Linked DNA regions of Arabidopsis thaliana. The protein of the gene in region 4 interacts with the protein of the main gene of each other region in a pairwise test. Each region holds a gene or a part of one and is shown on either strand. Other genes may lie near its edges.

Evidence for each region.
Region 1: the proteins of RCF3 (region 4) and AT2G43370 interact in a two-hybrid assay, tested with the Arabidopsis thaliana proteins (one large-scale study listed by BioGRID).
Region 2: the proteins of RCF3 (region 4) and MOS1 interact in a two-hybrid assay, tested with the Arabidopsis thaliana proteins (one large-scale study listed by BioGRID).
Region 3: the proteins of RCF3 (region 4) and AT2G39100 interact in a two-hybrid assay, tested with the Arabidopsis thaliana proteins (one large-scale study listed by BioGRID).

Annotation. Positions count from the first base shown.
Region 1 is NC_003071.7:18,011,250-18,016,048, reverse strand, and holds AT2G43370 (RNA-binding (RRM/RBD/RNP motifs) family protein), read right to left. Parts: upstream 2,782-4,799; 5' UTR 2,619-2,781; coding exon 2,471-2,618; intron 2,379-2,470; coding exon 2,281-2,378; intron 2,198-2,280; coding exon 2,146-2,197; intron 1,953-2,145; coding exon 1,882-1,952; intron 1,705-1,881; coding exon 1,614-1,704; intron 1,518-1,613; coding exon 1,442-1,517; intron 1,343-1,441; coding exon 1,264-1,342; intron 1,060-1,263; coding exon 673-1,059; 3' UTR 519-672; downstream 1-518. Other genes in the region: BIO2 (Radical SAM superfamily protein), read left to right, coding at 2,920-3,123, 3,446-3,625, 3,842-3,948, 4,227-4,432, 4,603-4,742.
Region 2 is NC_003075.7:12,731,079-12,738,705, reverse strand, and holds the start of MOS1 (modifier of snc1), read right to left. Parts: upstream 6,029-7,627; 5' UTR 5,904-6,028; exon of another isoform or gene 5,840-5,903; intron 5,322-5,839; 5' UTR 5,282-5,321; coding exon 5,253-5,281; intron 4,755-5,252; coding exon 4,671-4,754; intron 4,588-4,670; coding exon 4,543-4,587; intron 4,450-4,542; coding exon 4,080-4,449; intron 3,542-4,079; coding exon 3,439-3,541; intron 3,036-3,438; coding exon 2,919-3,035; intron 2,695-2,918; coding exon 1,617-2,694; intron 1,536-1,616; coding exon 1,307-1,535; intron 1,198-1,306; coding exon 1-1,197. UniProt on the Arabidopsis thaliana protein: Involved in the regulation of the chromatin structure and DNA methylation at the SNC1 locus. Regulates the expression of SNC1 at chromatin level.
Region 3 is NC_003071.7:16,315,417-16,319,898, reverse strand, and holds AT2G39100 (RING/U-box superfamily protein), read right to left. Parts: upstream 2,544-4,482; 5' UTR 2,438-2,543; coding exon 2,067-2,437; intron 1,987-2,066; coding exon 1,849-1,986; intron 1,742-1,848; coding exon 1,687-1,741; intron 1,548-1,686; coding exon 1,291-1,547; intron 1,100-1,290; coding exon 1,030-1,099; 3' UTR 1,012-1,029; intron 905-1,011; 3' UTR 512-904; downstream 1-511. Other genes in the region: AT2G39110 (Protein kinase superfamily protein), read right to left, coding at 111-129; APC7 (tetratricopeptide repeat (TPR)-containing protein), read left to right, coding at 2,666-2,734, 2,845-2,913, 3,005-3,055, 3,333-3,467, 3,563-3,625, 4,067-4,176, 4,301-4,385.
Region 4 is NC_003076.8:21,513,256-21,519,061, reverse strand, and holds RCF3 (RNA-binding KH domain-containing protein), read right to left. Parts: upstream 4,167-5,806; 5' UTR 3,708-4,166; coding exon 3,018-3,707; intron 2,777-3,017; coding exon 2,333-2,776; intron 2,245-2,332; coding exon 1,996-2,244; intron 1,910-1,995; coding exon 1,661-1,909; intron 1,460-1,660; coding exon 1,389-1,459; coding exon of another isoform or gene 1,385-1,388; exon of another isoform or gene 1,357-1,384; intron 1,297-1,356; coding exon 1,188-1,296; intron 1,092-1,187; coding exon 965-1,091; intron 885-964; coding exon 865-884; 3' UTR 515-864; downstream 1-514. Other genes in the region: AT5G53070 (Ribosomal protein L9/RNase H1), read right to left, coding at 76-225; AT5G53050 (alpha/beta-Hydrolases superfamily protein), read left to right, coding at 5,630-5,750. UniProt on the Arabidopsis thaliana protein: Acts as a negative regulator of osmotic stress-induced gene expression. Involved in the regulation of thermotolerance responses under heat stress. Functions as an upstream regulator of heat stress transcription factor (HSF) genes.

The DNA.
Region 1 (4,799 bases), on a different chromosome or scaffold from region 4:
ATGCAACGAGTACGAGAATGACATTGTCTCTAGTCAATCTGAGGCGACTCTCTATCCTCCTAATAGACAATTCATGAGAGGTACAAATACAATCAAATCAAAGTGAGTTTGAATAAACAAAACAAGAATCTGAAACCAAGTTTCAATTCTGTCTGTTGATACAACAACTATCTAGTATCTACACAGACAAACTAAATCTCTATTTCAACATCAAATGTGAGTTTTTATATTCGAACAAATTCAATACAAAACAAAATATAAGATAATAATAGTTCATTAGTTCTAAAAAAAGAAATATAAGATAAACTACAGAAACAAATCCAACTGTAATGTCATAGTTCATAAAAATAATAATATTTGATGAACTATTTTATCCATTTAGATAAATTACAAATTGCATCATCCCAAATTTTTTTATATCTTAACAATCAAATCTATACGGCCATAATTTAAGATATAAAGACAATTCACTCATGTTAATTGCAAAACAAATATCTTGTTTGTAACTAAAAAAAAAAGACAATTTCTGTTTTGCTATATTTGATTAACATACACTACACTTTTTTTTTCTTTGGTTCAAAAGGCACTCTTAAAAGTCTCTAACACCAAATATTATTAAAAAAAAATCTGTAACACCAAATATTATTGTTATTTTTTTTACAATATGATTACTTAGTCGGAAGAATGATGATCTTGACTATAGGACCTCCTATGATGATGGGAAGGCAAGTGTTTATGACGTTTGCGAGATCGGTCTTCTTCAGAACGTTTTGATCTTTTGCTGCCAGAAACTTCACCCTTGTTGTCACCATATCGATCTTCCATACCTCGTGCTCTCTCTTTTCTATCAGAACGGGACTCTTCCCTGGAACACTCCTCTCTGTCTTTGCTGCGTCTTCTATGAGAACTGTGTGTGTGTGCGCTCGACCTGTGACTGTGATATGACCTAAGGCTGCTTCGCTCTTTAAACTCTTCTTCCCGTTCTACAGAACTCTTTTCCCGATAATATTCTTCCTCTCTATCCGACACACTTCCTTTTCTCCTTGGAGGTGATGGGATCTGCATCCAACAAGTAAGTTGTGGTACCAAGATTTTAGTTTACAAACTATCAGCTTTCCACTAGACACATTGAACAACCCATTTAATATATTATTTCTAGCAGAAGAACATTAACAAATGACCCAATAAGATAGCACCAGAGACAGAACAGGGGTAAAGTTCAAATGACTATAGAGTGGTGGTGAAGTTCAAGACATGGTAGACCTGTGTGCGCGACATATATCTTCCCTCAGGCGGAAGCTGAATACCGAGCTTTTTCAAATCTTCATGAGGGATTGGTCGTCTGATATTAACAAATAGAAAGAATGCCCATTTCATGACCACTATGTTTAGCTGGTGTTATCTCTGGACATGCTAAAGGAAGAGTAAAGCAAAACCATACAAGGGAGCACGGAATGGTCTATCTCGTCCTCCAAAGCGAAGTTGTCCGGATTCTTTCCTACCACCAAGGCCACCTCCTGTTAAGAGAGAAATAGATTTCATCTGTAAGGGATGAAAATATAACGCCTATGACATTTCATTACAGACAAAAATAAAGGTAAAGAATGGCAAACCTAGTCTTCTTGGTATCCATCCAGGCATCAATTGCTGTCTATTATAATCAACAATAATCTCTCGCCCATCTATTAGTGAATGATGAGCATCCTGCTAAAGAAACACCAAAAAAATTCTCACTCTGATAAACAAACTCCACTAGTTTCCAGTAATTACACGGAGATGTTAATGAAACAATCACATTGCGGTGCCTTAGTAAGTGGTTCAGACAGCTTTCAACAACAAAAACAAGAGGTAAAAAGAAAATGCAATTTAGTATCACAGCACCTCATAAGCACGAAGCATCTCCTTTTCAGTCTCATACTCCACAAAACCATATCCTCGTGAAGCTCCCGTCACTAAAAAAAGGTAACAAGAAGAGGAGACTCAATACTACACAATGTGGAACTTAGAGGAAATATGTAATCACAGTTCTGCTTAGACAAATATCTTGGTAGAAAGTAACAAACCATCAGAAATAGAAAGATGATAAATTTCCTAAAGATAAAGCAAAGTGTTGATGTCATAAGTAGAGCAATTGCAAAATCTTACCAATGTGTCTTACCAAGCGCAAGTTCTTAATCCTGCCATACTTACTCATCACCTACGAAGAAGAAACTTTTATAATCATATTCAAAACATAGTCTACACGAAAATCAAAAACTAAGTGAAATTTCAATCATTAACCTCTCGAAGTGTATCCTCCGTAGTGTGATGAGAGAGACGACCCACGAAGAGAGTACAGTAAGGATCTCCAACAGCCTTCGAATCACCAGAAGGATCATCTTTCAAAACAACCCAAATCAATGTATTTGAATTCAGAAACCAAACGATAAAAGTGAAAAGAGGAGCAGAGAGAACGAGAGAGTATACATACATAAGCCAGCGTTATAACAGAGAAGAGCTCGACGGACGCCGTTATCATGTGGAGCAACATCAGTTCCGTCGATACTTCCGGCTTGAATCGGATGATACGACGTCGCGTAGAACACTTTGTTCACGACGTTGTTTCCTCCGCCGCTCATTTCTTCTCCCCCGACTCTCTCTCTCTCACGGCGGCTCCGGCTGTTTAAGGAAATAAAGAATAACGTCGTCGTTTGAATTGATTACTATTAAAAAGCCCAACATATAAATTGGGCTTATTACAGCCCAGTTAAAGATATATGATATTCTCGTAGGTCCCACACGAAGGCGGAAACTCCAACGGTGGCTGCTTTGGGTTAGGTGAATCACTCACTGAAGAGTGAAAAGCTCTAGCACAAACCAAACACCAAATCTCATTTCTTCTTCTTCTTCTTTTTCCACATTTTCTGATTAGCAGATCAAATGATGCTTGTTCGATCTGTATTTCGATCTCAGTTGCGACCCTCTGTCTCGGGTGGTCTGCAATCTGCTTCTTGCTATTCTTCATTATCTGCTGCTTCAGCTGAAGCTGAGAGGACTATCAGAGAAGGTCCCAGAAACGATTGGAGTAGAGATGAAATCAAGTCTGTTTATGATTCTCCTCTTCTTGACCTCCTCTTCCATGGAGTAATTTACCCTTCTTCTTCTCTCTCTCTCTCTCTCTCTCTCTCTCTCACTTACTCTTCTCTTTGTTGTTCTAGCTACTCTAAATCACAAATTTGAAGTAGAAAGCTTTGGGTTTCTGTTAAATTATTGGTGGAAAGTATCGATTTTTAGTTTAACCCAGAACATGTTTGTTCTCTTTGAAACATTTGTCTTAATTTCCCGGATTTTAGTGTCTTTGTAATGTCTATTGAGCTAGGTATTATTCATTTGGTTGCTCATCTGATCTCGTTATCAGTTGTCTTTTACTTGAATAACGATGGTGTGTGGACTCTTTGGGTTTCAGGCTCAGGTTCATAGACATGTTCATAACTTCAGGGAGGTACAACAATGTACCCTCCTCTCCATAAAGACTGGTGGCTGTAGTGAAGACTGTTCATATTGTCCTCAGTCTTCGAGATATAGCACTGGAGTTAAGGCACAAAGACTCATGTCTAAGGACGCTGTCATTGATGCTGCTAAGAAGGTTTGCACTTTTCTTGTGAATGTTTATTTTTGCTGAATGTAGAATCCTTAGCAGAATGTATCAAGAAGAAGGGGACATGCATTACTATGTACCAAAACGTTGTTTTTATCAATCCGAGCTCTATCTCTATCCAAAAGACTCTAATTGTTTAATGAAGCATTTTGACGATGTAATGAGCTCTTCTGATTTGAATTAACAAATTTGATGTGTTGTTAGGCAAAAGAAGCTGGGAGCACACGTTTTTGCATGGGTGCTGCTTGGCGAGATACAATTGGACGGAAAACCAACTTCAGCCAGATTCTTGAATACATCAAAGAAATAAGGTACCTTACTATTATGCTTTTTAAGTTGAACTTTGAATTTCCTTGTTTATACTACATTATATGATCCCTTTTTCAGCTGCTTCTGAATCTAAGCTAACTTAAAAGATAACCCACCGAACCGATCATTAATGGTTCTAGAATGAACATTTTTGCATGTCAAACTAAAGTGAAAATTTCAAAGTGTACTTGATGTATCCGTGAGCAGAATGAATATGATGTTGATGATGGTGTCTGGCTGAATGTGTTTACTAACTTTCTGGGCTCTCACTTTAAAACAGAGGCATGGGGATGGAAGTTTGCTGCACCTTAGGCATGATTGAGAAACAACAAGCACTAGAGCTAAAGAAGGCTGGCCTCACTGCTTATAACCACAATCTTGATACTTCAAGAGAGTACTACCCAAACGTCATCACTACTAGAAGTTATGACGATCGCCTTGAAACTCTTAGCCATGTTCGTGATGCTGGAATCAACGTTTGTTCAGGTAACTTTGATATGAAAATAGTATTCTTGTATGCCTCAATTCTATAGAACTAAAGGATTGAAACCTGTCTTCAGCTTGGTCATTAGACTCACAGTTTTGTAATATTCGTTGATTTTGATAAATCCATAGATACGACATGTTCTCAAGTGTTTTCTTTTACCGATAAACAGGAGGAATCATAGGGCTTGGTGAGGCAGAGGAAGACAGAATAGGTTTATTACACACGCTGGCAACACTTCCTTCTCACCCTGAGAGTGTTCCCATTAATGCTCTACTTGCAGTGAAAGGCACTCCTCTTGAAGACCAGAAGGTATATCTCCACAATCTAAAATCACAAATTGCAAGTCATAGCAGCTACTTAGTAGGA
Region 2 (7,627 bases), on a different chromosome or scaffold from region 4:
AGGAGACCCAGATTTCCCTGCAGTTGAACCAGAAGGTTGGAGAATTCCTGTACCCTCACCTCCACGATTTTCTTTCTGGTTTACATTCTCCGACATATCTGGAGCAGAGGTTACTAGATTTTTACTGACGATTTGCTCAGCCATTTCCTTTACTATAGGCTTCGGTACATATCTTTCAATTTCCACTCTTTTGCTTTTAGAACTAGTCTGTCCTTGATGCTGACTTTTTGAAGAGGTGCCAAACTCAGGGACAGTAGTCTGACTCCCTCCACCAGTGGAAACATCAGCTTTTTGCTGTGGATGTACTGGAGCCCAAATAACAGCATTGTTGCCAGAAAATTTCTCTGCAGGCTTATTTACCAGTGAGTTTCTTTGAGTCCTACGCACATGTTGAGATTTCCAGTTGTTTTTAGCTCTGTTTTGAGACTCTTCATTAGTGAAGGAACTGATTTGTTCAGACGAATCACCAGACACTTTGATATCCAGGCTTGGAACTGAAACAGACCCCAACTCAATTTCAGCTGCCCTTGCCCTAGCAGTCTCAATTGACTCATCTCCCGATTTTGTTTCTTTTCCAACGGCAACTCTTGTAGTATTCATAGTTGCTGTCTCCTCAGCCTTGTGTTTTTTCTTACCATTCCTGTTATTTTTTCTTTTCGGGAAAGTTGACTCAGCTGAAACGGTTGACGTCGCTGGCATGTCTGAGTTATTGCTTGAGACACCTTCATTAACAACCTCAGGAGACGGGACAACATCAAACACCTCTGCAGTAGCAACAGAGCTCCCTGTCGGTTTTTTCTCAAATATAATATTTTGCTTCTGCTTATAACCCAAGCGCTTCTGTTTTGAGGCACCGCCATCACGTGGAAGATTATCCTGTTGGGAAGGGCCCACATTATTTGCATATTCTGTTGAAGTCCTCGTGTTTTGCGTTGTGTTTTTTCCTGATCCTCCAGTAGGTTCTACGGAATTTGTAGCATTAGATGAATGAGATCCAGGATCTGTTGGCATGTCAGCCGGAGAAGCATTAGATGCAGCTTCCATGTTCTTAACTGAACCCTCCTCATATATTTGGGAACGTCTATTTAACTCTTCTAGTTTTGCAAGAGCCTTAGCCCGCTGATCTCTCGCTCTTTCTTCCTCCTCTTTCTGCCTCTGTTGAGCACGCTGCCTGGCTAACTCTCTCATCGTAGAACGCTTTTAAGGGAACATGGCAAACACTCAGTCAAACCAAAAAAGGATGACTACAAACAAGAGATACATAAAAGTATAAATAACAACCAGAATCATATGAACTAGTTTATACCTGGTTATCCTTTGGGTCTGCTGATATTCCCGACCCAGGCCTCCTGATGGACTCGGTATCCAAAGAGTCATCGACATTAACCTCGCGAAAGCTTTCTGTGTTTGTAGCTAAAGTTGTATGGGAGGAGCCTGACATAACAGTTGTCTTCTGCCAAGCATCATTGCCTTCACTGTTCACTATTCGTTTGGTCTGCGGATCTGCTCTGCCTTGAGTCTGTTGAGTAGGTCTCCTGTAGGTACTAACATCAAAACTTTCCCGACATAAAGGATGGCATAACTGGCCGAAACACAATTGAAAAATGATAACTGACCTGAATATGCTAGTTCCACCCATAGCTGCGGGTTCAGCATTCTTGTTTGTGGCAGAATCACCTTGATTATAGTGTGATGAGTTCTTACTGTCACTTGCATGACCAGTTCGATGATTTCTGGCTGAAACTTTATTTGCAGAGTTCCCAGAATTGAGTGTACGTGGTTGGCTTTCCTGCTCATCTCTATTAACAACAGATGACGAATTTTGCCAACCATCATTAGTTCTAGTTTTTGCATTTAAGCCCTCGATTTTCTGAATCAAACTAGGATCTCCAGGGGCAGCAAGTTCTGCTTTGACTGGTTGTACTTCACCACTTGCGTCATTTCTGATTTCTCTCCTCTCGTTTCTTGAAGTTTGCATCTGTTGAGCTATCTTCTCTGCATTCGGGAGCCTATTTCCAAGAAATTCTTCCCGCTTTGCATTATCTTCCCCAAACCTCCCATCTTGGTGCTTTAGGAGAACCTTGTATGGCCTTTGTGTTTCTTGAGAATGTGATGACTCGTTCCGTTCCAAAGACACTGAACTTCCAGGCGTATCATATCCACCTTGACCAGAATGATTGTTATAAGCATGCGGACCAGTAGGCCTACCTGCAAAAGGTAGGTCTCTGTTGCTGGGACTGCCATACCCCATGGGAGGACCATAGTAGCCTTCGTGTGGCGCTGGACCAACATAAAACCCAGGCCTAGTCTGCATCCTTGGGTGGACATAAGAGTCAAGCATTGGAGGTCTGAACATTCTTTCATTATTAGCGTGATTACCCCTAGGACCAGCCCCATGTCCAGGAGCAGGTGGAACTTGCGTAGGATAAAATGGAAAAGGATCCATGTGAAAACCCCCAGGACCCATTGGGGCACCATACGGGTGGTTCCCTCCGTACCAGCCACCTCCTTGATGATTATTTACTGGAGGACCACGCCAAGCATCATACCGAGGAGGAAAATTAGCATTAGGATAAGATTGTGAACCACGTGAGTCCAATTGCCCTTCCTCTCTACAATGTCTAGGTGCATCTTCACTGTATGGTTGATTCTCTCTTCTCCAGGAATTGGCATCCCCAATCCGGTCATTAGCTTCTGCAAATAAAAGACAAGATATGGTCAAATATAGTGTCCGCGAGAACATCCACTAAAAAGATGTACGGGGAATAAAGCAGTAAGAAGAATTCACATGAACACCTGTGAGGGTAACATGGCCCTCTCATAAGAGATGATTATAAACATAAGTAACTCTCGAAATGAGATGCCAACATCTGTTGTATATCCCCAAAACATAGAAAAATAGGTTTGAAAGTAAGAACCTTCTGTGCAATCTACACCTTGCCCTTCCACAGATCTTCCAGACGAAGATGGAGGACGAGCGTGAGGTCCAGCATCTGCAAATTTGTAGTTTCTAAGAGCCATGTCTAACGTATCTCCTTCATATAAGCACATCACATTCTATCTAGGTAATCCTAAAATTCTCAGTGGCACATATTAGGAGGTCATCTAAGATCGAAAAAGTGGTCAACCAACAGCAAGCCAAAAAAAAAGGTCATTCCCGAAAGTTTTAACTTTGCTGAATATCCGTGTAGATAAACTTCTCAACAGAATTACATTTAGAAGTACCAACTTTCAAAATGAACCCGTCTGTGCTAACGTCACTCCCTTGAAGGCAAGGACGACGAGTATAAGATTGAATTGTGTACAAGTTGAAACAATTTTTTTTTCCTAGTTTACATGCTGATCGTACTTTTTGAAAAGAGCAAAGAGAACTATTCTTAAATCAAAGTACTGTAATGCATGGATGACACAATAATTTTTACTGTTAATAGATGGTACCTTGTGGCCTTGTACTCTTTTCAGAAGTGTCCTTTTCAGCACCAAGGGAAGGAAAATCTCCAGAAGTCAAAGAAAACCCATCATTCTTTGATGGAGCAACTCCCTGTAGAAAACAATGAGAAGTCTAAGAATGAAGATAAATTTCATGGTAGATAATGCAAAGGTGGGTAAATTGTACACAACTATTCTTCAAAAAAAACCTTGAAGATTGAAGTTTGCCAAATAATAATACAAAAACCCTTCCATCAAATTCTATTTGCCCAACCAGAACTCGAGACTTATTGGAGACCATGTGCCACTCAGTTGTCAGATTATCTTACGCACTACAAAGCATTTCTCTAAGAGAAATAAGTGCCCTATAATTTGACAAATTTAGCATCCTAATCTTGTTCCCATAGCAAACACGAATGATGTATCCAGCTATTAAAGTTCTATCTAGATTGAATATCAATCATTAATCCCAAAAAGTAATTACCATTCACAGTCCCAAAAACATAAGAACTTGCTGTGTGTTTGTTGTAACTAAGCACAAGTGAAGTAAGAGAAGAGTGACATGGAGCTTCACAGATGTAAGGATAAAAAAAGATGCTTAGCAGAGTCCCGATAAATATTAGAGACGACTTTAAAGGGAAGAACCATACCAACTTCTCTGGCGCCACATGTTGACCCCATGTTGCAGAAGTCTCTGACACGGGTTCAGCAAATCGGGATAACTGGGAACTTCCTGGTCTTGTGTCTGCACTATGTGGACGCTGTAGTGCAACTGATGGCTGATTAGATGGAAACACCCCAGATGCTGATGAAGGCCGCGAGTTCGAATCCCATGCAACAGAAGAAGAAGAGTCATGTGCTTTGTTACTATCGGCAGTTGAAGGTCGAGTGACACTTCCACCAGAAGAAGGTCGATTACTGAGGTGGCTTGGTGAACCAGGGCCACTTTCAGTTCGTGGTGACAAGGATGATGTCCCCCAAGCATTCAGTGATGATTTACTGCCCCAACTAAGTGTTCCCCTAAAATAGATGTCCAGAAGAAAATTAAACCATCTAAAATTTGAGGACGAAAAAGAATGAGGGAAATAGCATCTCAAACAGGTACAAACTTACTTTGGAACAATTTCTACATTTGGGTCAAGGCCTTGGTTCTCTAACCTTAAATTCAGAAGAGAAGTGTTCAGGGAACGAGATTATACATATATATGAAGTCTAAATGTGATCATGCGCTCATCAAATACCTTTGGCTTGGTAAGTTAATCGGTTTTGGAACAGCAACCTTTCCCAATATAGTCATGCCACTTCTTCTTGTAGTACCCCATCTGCTAATATCCAGCACATGTAATTTCTCATCATCACCACAGAGGATACAAAGCTCTTTAAGTGTAAATGAGCAAAGTATAAATGATTATACAATTTATTAAAAAAACGATCAGCTCTTTACATATGTTTTCTACACACATTTTACAACTTTCCCTTCTTTTAATCTAAATGGTGATGTTGGCATGTTGCAAATCAATAATAATGTTGAATAAAATTATTACAAATACATGGTGAATGTCTATCATGCAAGCAAGCTCTTTCAAAGAAAGAAAAACCACACCCTGAGTTTCCTTCTATACCCCAGGCACATATAGTGATTCTATATTTTAACAACAGTTGGAATATACAGCACAACGAAAACAAGTAATTCATATGAAGAAAAGGCCAAATCAAAAGAAAAATCATGCAAGTAACGTGCAAAGAGGCCAATATATAACCCATAATCCAGTATAAAAACATAGAAAAGTTCATGACAAAGATAAAGTTGAAAGAAGAGAAACCTTCGATCTCCTGTCGTGCTAGAGGTCATTATAAAAGCAGCTACACGATCCAATTACACCACTTGAAACCTGTAAGTCACATACAGAATCAGATTCACAAATGAAATTTGAAGCTCAAATCCCAAAGAATCAAACAAGACCGACACTGAAGAACTATTGCTATAACACTGCTACCGTGAAATGTGTTGCAGAATCAGACTGCCTATACAAATTCTCCAACATGAATTGAAATACTTTCTAAAATTCACCATCATAACAGAAAGACAATGTTCGACAATCAAATTGGTACAGAAACCTAAAAGTATGAAAGATCGTCAAACTGCGGAATCAAAAGAGGTTCCAGACTAAATGACCGCAATACTAAAAAAACAATTGACGTATTCCCAGAATGTTGACAATTTCGCAATCAACTTGCTAGAACAACAACAGCAACAAAAAAAGAGCTCTGAAACATACAAATGTCTCCAGAAATGTCAATCAAGCTCTACAAAAGGACCCAAATTACTTCAAAATGCGATAATTCTATAAACTCATCACTCGATTCCTCTGGAATACAAAGGGGAAAAAAAGGTAGAGAAGAAACTGACCAAAGGGGATTATAGAGAAAATCTGCTCTCTTTTTTTGAATAGAGAGGGGGGGTCCTCGCAAACCCTAGATATTAATTGTGAGAATCGAACGAAGAGGGTGCAGATCGGATGTGTTCCTGGGCGATGAGGGAAAAGGAAGAAGGGGAAGATGAAGGAGAAAAGGAAGGATCTGTGGGAGAAAGAAGAAAGTGATGATGATTGATGAAGATGAAGCTTATTACGACGACGTTCAACGGATTGGTTGAAAGAGGAGAAAGCGTCGAAGTTCAGGGCTGCACGGTTTTACTCAGCTTTTCCTCTCTCTCTTTTTTTTTTTCCTGTGAATTGTAAAATGAATGCCGATTAAAATAAAATAGAGCGAATAAAGGATCACCTATCTCCAAAAAACAAAAATATATATATAAATTAAAAGAGTAGTATTATTCATTAACATCATTTATATATTTACCTACCCATTTTAAAAGATAGCCATAGTTTGACAAAAAAAAAAAAAAAAAGGATAGCCATAAAAACAATACTTAACAAAATAGTTTCCTTTCTTTTACATTTTACGAATGTTAAAAATGGGGGAGAAATTGAATTATGTGGTAGGTTCACTTCTTCATTTTAAGGACATGTTTAGGGAAGTAAGACGATGGCAGGCATGATCAAATGAATAAGGTTTTTTGGGTAATGCTTATGTTTATCTTCCAAACCTCTCATGTTTCTTTGTGGAGTACACTCATTCTAAGGAAAGATCATATATTAATCCGGTGTTTTGTAATCGAGGGTTGGAAGTGTTCGTACATGCACTGTGTACATGGTGCTAGAGGATGATCTTGAGCGGATTTGAGCTCAACGCTAGCTTATTTTTTTTCAAATTTTAAAATTTTGTGTAAATTTTATATACAGAAGATTTTAGATAATGCATAGTTTGATTTTTATTAATTTATTACGAGTAGTCTTAGCATATTTTAAATTTTCGTGCTTTTCTCCAAATTGATACTTAAGAGTTAGAGAGAAAGCCAACAAACTTAAGAAAGTTAGAGAACGAGACACTTGAATGCTTACAAATGATGATCCCACCCCATTTTATACAACTTCACCTTTGATAGAATCATATTCAATAAACAGTAATGTATGAAAAGAAAACAAAAAAACAAATATACTTGAACAATGACCAAATATAATAAACCTCTTGGATCCAGCCCATATGATCTTTGCTAAACTCTTGAACAATTTGGGCCGTGGCAATATGTAGATTTTGGTCCATGGATCATTTATCTATTTTAATGTTACCCTTGCAGAGATTATTTTCTTCTCTTTGTTACTTTCACAATCAACACCCCAAAATATGTTATTACAACAATTTCACCCTAAATCGTTTTGTCCAAATGTGTAAATTACACTAAACATATATAGGGCAAAATATTACATAGTCAATATAATGAGCCTTAAGCTAATCTAATTAGATGTGAAAACAGAGAAGTGACGTAAATCTAGAAAATATTGTTACACATAAAGCATTCACCAGTCTTGTACTAGTAAACAGAGATCCTGAATAAATTCAGTGTCTCACTCGGTTCATGTACTGTCGTTTCCAAGGTCTGCCATTGACAAACCGAAAAGCTGAAACTCTTCACGCCAAAGCCAAAATACAATAACTTTTTCCCAATGGGAAATATCTTTTATCGTGGAGAGAAACAAACAAAGAGCTTCGACCTAATTACACATTCTTCTTTTTCAGTTTACATATAAAAAGCCTTCTAGCGATCCTTTCACTGTGGCCAATTTGTTCTGTGACCTTT
Region 3 (4,482 bases), on a different chromosome or scaffold from region 4:
TCAACTAGATTCCCTGACATTTGGAAGAATGTAGAACAAAAATCGATATACAACACAAAAGTAGAAATGTGGTAAGAGTGTTGAGAATCAGAAAGGGAAAGAGAAGAAACCTGATGTAGAATTATTCATGAGGATGAATGGAATGCTGTGATGGGGGTCTTCATGATCATGATTGAGAGAGCTTTAAAGCAAAAGAAAATGGTAGAGAAAGAGATAAGAGGAGAAGAGAGAAGACGAGCTCACCATGATCGAATGGGGGAAGTCAAATAGGCAATGGCAGCTGGATTGCCGCTTACCAACCTATAGAAGAAGCCTTTTATAATATTTTATTTTGTGTTACACCCGCTTGCTTACTTATATCAATCAATACCTTAATAGAGAACGCGTTGTTTATTAAAAAAATTTCCCCGTGTATATTCACCATTTAATCTTTAAGGTACGGTTTAGAAGAGAAATTCAAATGAACTTTCCTCTTCTATGGAAGCTTCGTGTAATTTATCTAAAACTATGTATAGTTTTAATTTATTAAAAATTGATAGTCAAATTATAGAAAATATTTAATGTTGTTGAAATAGGTGGTACTCGAAACGTAAGAAAAAATGATGAGGTGAGGAAAAGCGTTGGAAAGAAACTTTGGGGGTGAGAATTTTTGGTATAGAAGAGACGTACATTATGGAAGTAGAGAGACTAAGTGTCAGCTATTTGAGAATCCACCTATAGCTATCTCAAAACTAACTCCACACCTAAACTTGCATCATCTCAACATCTTCCTCCTACCTACTCTTTAACTCTTGGTTTCTCTTACTTGGTCCAGTCTTTCCACTATTGAACTTCCAAGACACCAACAGTCGCGTTGTAAGTCTGTCTATTTACTTCATTTGACGAGAGCATAGTGCTCGGTTATCTGCAAGCGAATACAACATAATGACTTCAGAAAAAAAACCATCGAAGCAAAACAGGTTCCTACTTAGTGAAACCAAACCCACATAATACATATCCTAATTTCTTTACCTGTTTTTTTTACTGCTATTACTCCACCTCATTGTATTCAACCACTGCATCATAAGTCTCCATCGTGAGTATACTCTCCGCAAAACATCTGAAAAATGTTTTCTTTCTCATCAGAAATAGTATATGACCAAAAAACCTAAACCAAACAGATATCAGCTCTATCATCTGTTCAGACTTACAAGTCACTAGGTTTAGGTTGCCTATGTGTTTTCTGTACTACTATACTAAACCTGTAACTACTTGAAACTCTGAAAAAACCCTAGCGTATAAAAATCTTACCTTAGTTCATGCCAAAATATATCCACCTTATCAGACAAGAATTTTCGAAGAGAGGAGACTTCATCTTCCACCAACATCCCGGTCTGCCCGGTTTGTCGATTATTCTCTCTCTCAAGCCTTTTGATGAAAAGAGCTGACGCAAAATGAACAATAACTGAGGGATCAGGATCTCCAAGGACTGCCTGAAGCTCTCTTCTAATCCATGGCTCAATTCTTTCAGTTATCTTTGCTTTGGTGTAATCATTCACCGCCAAACTCTACAATAATCCAAGATGACACAACGAAGCAGGTATATATAAGGCTTCCAATGTGAACATATATCCAATAATGTAAGAGTGTAAACCCCAATACTACAAACATCAAACAGAGAAGAACACATTGTATAATGAAACTTACTAGTTCCAAGCGCCTTGAATGTAATCGAACAGCTCGTAATTGCTTAGTGTATATGCTGTATTTAGAGCCAACACTAGTTAGAAACAACGGCGAACTAATCTAACACTTCGAAAAAGGAGATTGCAAATGAAGCTATAGAGTTAGAATCAATAGTAAACCAACCTAGCTCGCCACTGAAGCTTTCGCTGGAAGATAACAGAATCAGGAACTGAACCTGGTCGTCCAAATGATCTCCGCCATGGCAATGGCCTTGATCTTGAGCTAGAGTTTTCCAAAACATCCCTCGACCTTTGAATTATCCTAATGAAATAATAACCAAGTGAATATAATAAAGAAGTGATTTTTAACTTCATAGAGAGGATCTTAGAGAGAGAGATAACCTCCGGCGATCGGAAGGATTATTCCGATGATAAGTTAAAGTCTCACGATCACGAAGAATTGGTAATTGCTCCTTATGGTATTTTCTAGAAGCAAAATCACTAACGATAAACCAGGAATCAAAACGAGTGTTACAAAGAGGACAATTCCTCTTGAAGCTGCTCCACTTCCGAATACAAGCAAGGCAGTATCCGTGCTTGCACACCGTGATCACGGCGGCGGATCTTCGCTCGGTTAGATTTTCGAGGCATATCGGACACGATTTCCCCTGTAAAGCAGGAAATATTGCTCTCCCTGCAAATTTCGCGATACTTTCCGGCGATCGAAGATGTCTCGAAGACGAAGGCGCCGTGGAGGACGGTAATGGAGGCATGACCGGAGATAGAGATTGTTCGGTGAAGTCGGGCTCTTGGAAAAGTCGGGTTTTAATGAACCGAGATGGATTTCAGATAGATAACCGGTTAATGTCGGTTTGGGTTGACTCGGTTCGAGATTTCTTGTTTCAAAATGAAGAGCGAGCGTGAAGGATCTTTTACTTCATCGCTGCTCCGAAGAAAAAACTTCACCATTGCCACTAACGACGAACTCTCTTGTCTCTGAAATGGAGGTTCCAAAGGAGCAGATCGCGACTTTAATAGAGCATGGGCTTTACGATTCTGCTGAAATGCTCGTAACTTCTCTAGCTTTTAGCTCATTTTGATTGTCTATCTCTTTTTTTCTAAATCCCTAGTTTTCATCAAGAGCTAATGAAATTCTCTCTATATATGCAACTAAATCCAGGGCTGCTTTCTCGTTTCTTCTCCTACTGTTAGTGCCGAAACTAGTCCTCAGCTCAAGGCGGAGAATTTGGTTAAGCTTCTTTCTCCGTCGATATTTTCTATTTTAGTAGCTGCTGAGTCCGTTAGATTGAAGTTAGATTCTTTCTGTGTTTTTTAATCAGATTCTACTGGGTGATGCTTTATTTCATCAGAGAGAACACCGGAGAGCTATTGTAAGTTCTCAAAAGTTTCATTCTTTATGTTTCTCTTTTGCTGTGAAGGAAATGTTACTCAGTTCTCGATAGTTTAGTTCTGCCTCAAATTTGAACTCTATAAATCATTCTCGGAACTTGAATTTGACTGGATTATGATAAAATTGTAAAGATTCTGATTATATGAATTTATGGAGTGAGCAGAGATAAGTTTTATATTTGTATTGCTTATTCTTTTCCTGTGGATTACTTTGAAGTCATCTCGAAATTCTGAATATGTATTCCTTCTTTTTGTCAGCATACGTACAAGCAAGCGTTGCATCATTACACAAGGATTCCGAAGCAAAGCTCCGGTATTTCGAGGAGTTCATTATCTTTATCTACCAGATCATCTGTGAATGCCTCCAGCATTTCTGCTATTAATGAGAACGAGGTAAATAACTGTGTTGCAGTTTCCAGAAAGTGATGTGGTTTGGTTTAATTTCATTGGAGTTCATGTGCATCTTCTTTTTCTAACTTTCCTTTTAGGTGAGATTCAAGATTGCTTCATCTCACTTTGCTCTTAATGAAACAAAAGCTGCGATTGCTGAGGTATGAGTGTCATCTGTTTGTCTGGTTTTCAAGATTTATTTAGTCTTCTGGATTTGTTGGTCTAGAAACTTTGGTATATAGAAAATAAAATATGTGTGTATGAGACGGTAAAAGAGCTGTCTAGGGATTTCTCTATTTCTAAGATTATAGATTGGTTTTGTATAGGATGACTTTTATGTCTTGCTATTGTATTTTATAACCAGAGTTAAGTAACTGTAATTTCAGTGAAACATTCTTGGGCCGTAACTAATGCATTGTTATAGTATTCCTGAATGTGAGTTGAATTTTGTTGCGTTGACCTGCTCCCATCAATGCAAATCCATATTACAAAACAAGTAAACTAATTGGATTCCTTCCAACACTGCATGTAGGTATTAGGGATGATAAAGCCATGGTCTGCTTAGCTATAATCTATTTTTGCACTTGTTATTTCTTTGCCAGATGGAATCTGTCAAGACCAGGAGCTTAGAGATGAATATACTGATGGCAAAGCTTCATCGAAATTCTGGATACAACCGTGGTGCTATTGCTTTTTATAAAGAGTGTTTAAGGTCTGTTTTTCGTTTTCTTTCCCAACATTTCCTAGCATAGAAACACTGTTATAATATCTCACTTTTTACGTTAAATACCAATTCAACACATAGTAAACATATATATAATCTTTAATCTCTGCAGGCAGTGTCCTTATGTACTTGAAGCCGTCATAGGTTTAGCTGAACTGGGAGTTAGTGCAAAGGATATCATATCATCGTTTACTCAGGTGTCCCTTTCTACGAGATTTCTTTCACCACTTCTTCAAATGTGTTTTGCACCTCTTTCTCTCTATTTTGCAATTACCTTTTCTGTGTGAAATCCAT
Region 4 (5,806 bases):
CAACCCAACGAAATGTGAAGGAAATTTCAAAATCAAACGATAAAAATCATGCCTTTCAGAATCATTAAACCTCACCGTTGTAAGAATAACTTCTAATTTTCTGTATCGAACTCCTTGACAAGCGAAAAGGAGAGGATGATGAATCGCATTTTCATACTTGTGATAAGCTGTTCCTCTCGAGACTACATGCCGAATCACGTTTCTACTTTGCCCAACATAAGCCATTTTCTCGATTCAACAATATTCAGTGCGACAGTCTACAAAGAGAGATTCCACAACAAGGAGTGAGAAAACCCTAGAAAACGACGGATATAAGAGAACAGAGAAAACAAAAAGAGAAGTTAAGGAAGAATCAATCACCAGTGAAGCGGCAATGCTACGACGGTGGAAATGGCGACGGCGGTGCGATGCGACGTCTCTTTTTCACGAACTCGAAGAAAGGTGAAGCCGCAGGTGAGGTTTTAGCAGTGGCTATTTTTGTAAAATACGACTTAAGATTTATCTATGTTTTCACCCTAAACTTTATCTAGGGCAAAAACACCCCAATCTCAATGATGTTAACTCAAGTGAAACGCAGCGTTTAAGTTCTTCCAATATACATAGGGGTGGTGTGAATTAAAGATGAGTCTTTAATGATTAGTCATTCGGATTAAACTTTAATGACTTTTTTAAATAAGTTACAGAACAATGTAAACAAAGAAGACTAATAGACAACATAGAAACCAAAGAGTGATGGTCAAAATGTGGAATGTTCATCTAAACTACTGCTTACTGAAATCCTAATATTCAACAAGTCATACATAACTCCACATTTCTCAGTTTCTTGATCTTCATCTCTGTGTTGACTGATGATCTGGTCCAAGTTCACGGTCCATCCTCTTGTACTGCACCAAACAAGGAACGGAAATCAGACTTATAGATCAGTACAATACGGATATAAAAGTTTGGAAAGAGAGAAACTTACTGCTCAAAATGAAGCCTTGAAGCAAACTCTGAGCTCTCTCTGCTTGCTCGGGTGTACCCGAAATTCGAATGATATTCTGTGTTTCTTCTGGTCTGTCTTCAACTATGGTTACACTAGCTCCAGACCACTGTGATCAAGTGGGAAAGAGATAAGACAAAGCGTCAAAGATTTTGATTAGAGTCATGATTTGCACCAATCTAGTTCCAGTTAAAAAGAGTTCTACCTCACTGATTTGTGCAAGCTTGTTTCTTGATTTCGTAACGAGCTTAGGAACAACCGCCTCTGGTAAGACAACTTCAAGAGTGCTTCTAGTAACAAGTGGTACCGCCATTCTAGAGAAAAAAACAAAAAGCAGGAAGGAAAGGTGTGAAACAAGCACTTGTACGGTTTTGGGAAAATATATCAAATTTGGGAGTTTCTCTACCTGCTTGTCGTGACAGGAACCTCTTCCCGGTGTTCACTTTCACCCGCCTTTGCAACTGATCCGAAACCTTCCTATAAAAACCAAGAGAAAAATATATGTAAATATAGGGACATTGCACGAATGGACAAGAACCATAGACTACTTTCCAAGTATTCAGGTAATTATGCATAGCCTGATAGTAATATTACATTGTTTCGATGGCAAAAATAAGTCTGACCCTAACTGATTACAGATGCCTTTATATTGAAAAGATTGTTGATGAGAACAAAAACCTTAAACTGTGGCAAGATTGTGCTAACTTGCTGCAAGTTCAGATTCGAACTAGTAGGACCTTCACGAGATTGAATTGTGTTATTTGATGAAGCTACCTCCATTACTCCTGCAACACCTTCGAGAGGGCCAGTTGTGGATGTGGAAGCTGGTGGTGTCTCCTTTTGAGAGAGCTCCTTGAACATATGACTCCTCAATAGTAATGTTAATTCAACAAGTGCTTCCCGAGCAGCTCTGATCTCGCCAGTAATCTACATCGACATTCACATAAGAATTCTCTTTTGAGACCAGAAGTTGTTTAGAAAATGCTCGACTCCTCAAAAATAGACAAACATACCTGTATAACAACATCATTGATAGAAGCACATCGGGGAATTTCTTCCCTAGCTAGAATTTGTACGCTTGTTCCAGTTAATCGTGATATCTCAGATACTGATCCTGCTTTCCCTTCCAAACATATAGAGTCTCTAGATGGGACAAGTAATCTTGTTGTTATTAAATTATCTTTATCCGGAATAAGATCTATGATCTGAGTTTGAATGTGCAACAAGGCTTCTTGAGCAGGGAAAAATGGATCATCAGGTGCCTAAGCAAAGTAAGAATACAAAACTTCAAGTTCACAATTGTAAATGTAACAGATAATATTGAAGAAGATCTGAGGGTATTTAGAGTACCTCTTCCGAAGAAATGGTGATTATCTGTTCATCAGATCCAGCAACTGGGTCAGATACTCTAACGTCCACGCCGATCTCGTTCTGAAGCAAATCAATTATTCCTTGCGATTCCCCAACAACCCGAACAATCTTGTCAGCTGGGCAGAGAATCTGGAACACAAGCTCTTCGGAGTAGACATTCTCACCAACTGGAACTGCTGGAGCTTCTTCTGCATAGTTGGACTGGCGAGAACTGAAGTTGTTATTTCTAAAATTACCACGAGGAAACCTATCGGATGATTGTCTTCTTAGCTGTGGCATGTAATCATCCCCCGCAGCTGCAAACGACCGTTCTGGTGAATGTGAACGCCCTTGGAAATTACTCCGATCACGATGCTGACTCTCCCTTAGACGAGATGATACAATGGCTAAAGCGTTTTTCACTGCATTTAGTTCACCTACAATCTGAAAGAACCAACATTATAAATGCATTTCCCATAGGTAGAAAACACCAAAGAAAGCTTAAACATAACAAATAATGACCAAGCTAACTACATAAGAGTGATTCAACTCTTGTCAACAACCTCAACCTCACAATCACACATTTAAATTATCTAGCATTTCAATAAACTGACTACATTTCATATCAAAATCTCAACAAGATTCACCATTTCAAATATGTTCTCAAAATAGCAATTTTTCAGACCTGAACAATCTCTTCAGAGAGTGAAACACAACGAGGTAAGTTACTTTCTCTTGGAAGAATCCGAATATGAGTCTTAGTTTCAATCCTCATCTGCTCAATAATCTTCCCACCTTTACCCAACAAACAACCAACATGCATCCTAGAAACCACTAATCTAGTCACAACTCTCCCTCCACCAGGTCTAACTCCACCGTAATCCTCCTCCTCTTCCGGCGGAGGTCCACCATAACCAAACTGAGCTTCACTCTCCAAAATCCTGTCATGAACACTAAACAAAGCCTCTTGAGCAGGAGAGAAAGACGGCATTCTCCCATCAGGGTCACGCCTACGATTATCAGAAATCTCAATGATACGCTCTGCATCTCCAGGAACTAGCTCGTGCACGTTAATCCACGCGCCGGTGTGTTGCCTTATAGATTTGATAATTGTCCCGGATTTACCAATAACACCTCCTGCTTTAGCGTCGTGACAGAGGATTCGATAAGTCGTTGTTGCCATCGTTTCAGGATGAGACTTCGATGGCCGGCCATTTCCACCTCCACCACCGCCGCCGCCACGGTATCTGTTATTTCCTCCGCCGCCACCACCAAAGTGGTAATTATTGTTGTAGCGAGGTTTAGACCTAGGCATGGAATCTCCGTCATAGTCTTGGTCATAGTGGTAGTTTCTCTTGGATCTAGATCTCTCCATTTGAATAAAATCGCAAACCCAGAAATCAAAGTTCAAATCTTTAACTAGTCATTTATCAATCTCGCAGCAAATTTTTCGAATTCGAGGGTTTTCTGAAGGATTAGAAAGTTCACAAGCCCTAGAAGGAAGTCTACAGTACCCAATTACTTTCCTTTTTACCGGAAATTGAAAAAGGAAGGAACTTTCCGGTCAATTTCACAGGAATACTTGGAGGGAGAATTCAAGAATGTCCAAAATCGATGGAGGCGAATCGGTGCAATGCAAAAATCACCAGCTTTTTGTGTGTTTTGAGGGTTCTTTCCTGTGAATCTAAAAAGCCAAAGCTTTTTGAAGTTTGAGAGTAGAGAGAGACCGTGCAATGGGTGATGTTAGTGGCGTGCGCTAACTACGATATTAGCTACTCCCAAACGTTGTCGTTTTGGTCTCTTGGGAAATTTGGGTATGCTTCATCTTTAAAAACTCGTATTAAGCTAAATAAATTGTTAGACAAATGAATCGTCATCAGATTTTCGCATAGTTATTAGCACTGATGAAGATGAATTTTTGTGCTCACGTAACGTATTAGTAGATACTAAAAATGTATAAATAATTTTTTTCTAATAGGTAAAAATGATATGATTAATACGTAACCAATTAGATGATTTTTCGTGTTATGTACGAGACTAAAACTGTAGACACGTATGTGTTTTTTTCTAATTTAATTTTTAACTATTTATTAACCGCGGTATTATGTAATTAAGTACATATACTAAAACTGTTTTTGGAAAACAAAAAATCCTTTTAATATTTACCAGGTAAAGTATAATTGGTTTAGTGTTAAAGTTTAGCATATGGTAAAAATCATTTGGTGCATCTAAGTATTGCATCCGTTGAATACCATTTTCATCACCAATCCGTAAGGACAAAAAACGATTTACTATCCCTTTTCAGCAATTTAATTTGTATTGCTTCATTGACAAAATTAATTTTTCAAGAGTTTAAAAATAAAGAAACCAAACTCTCATTGCACTTTAAGTCTTTAACTAAATGATCACTTTTGATGAAAAAAAAAACTAAGGATCAGTTCACAAAAACAAGCAATAACAAATTAACAATACAAGAAAATCGTCTCGCACTTATGGTCAAAGACTCAAAGCTTAAGTTGTTGGTGGATCGTTTCGTCTAAATTGTGAGCCTTGACGGGCATAAGTACTTTCCAAATGATAGGTCTTCCCAACAAATATTTTCCGTTTCAGGAGAAGGTATTGCGTTTTCAGGTTGTGCTACGACAAGATGGTGACCTAAACTATATATAATGAAAAAGCAGCCACGAAGTCATGGAGGTTTTATTATCACATGTCCTGGTGAACAATTATCTAGTGTCCAGCATAAAATGTCAGTAACGATCTTGCCTTGTTTTGTGTCTCGATCTGTCTTCTCCTGAAACCACACCAATATAATATAAAGCAACGCGGATCAAAATAGCAAAACATTATAAAGTTCAACAAATTGAACCGGAGATTAAAATAGTGTAGTGACTACTTCAACAAATGGTCTAAGTTGCTATTGTTTTAGGTTAATGCTCCACTTGTGTTCAGACCCATTATCGCTTCTCTTATATATGATGCATATGAATTCCATTGACGTAGTACTACTTCTACTTCTAGCGTTTTTCACGTGCTATATTTCTATACAACATAGTTTTCTCGTGTAAAAAATTTGACCGTTGACCTTTGTTAGATATTACCCGCCAATAAAATCCAGCCGACCAATCCTACGTGGCAGTCCTAACCTCCACCCAAAAAACCGAACCGAACCACACCACAGACCCAATCTCTCTCTCTTCCGATAGAAAAGTCCTTTCCTTTCTTCTCCTCTTCTCCTCTCCGGTTATTCAAAATCTGATCCCACCCAGATATCAGAGTTTGAGAACAAAAAAAGCGATGCCGTTTTGCGAGGTCGTGAAAGAAGATGTCGGCCCAGAGACGACGCTTAACAATGCCGCAATCAAAATCTTCTACAGAACGTACGGTCATGGTCCTATCAAAGCTCTTCTCATCATAGGTCTGTTGTAATCTCCATCTTTCCCATTTGATTAGTTTCCTTAGCAATTCCGAGCT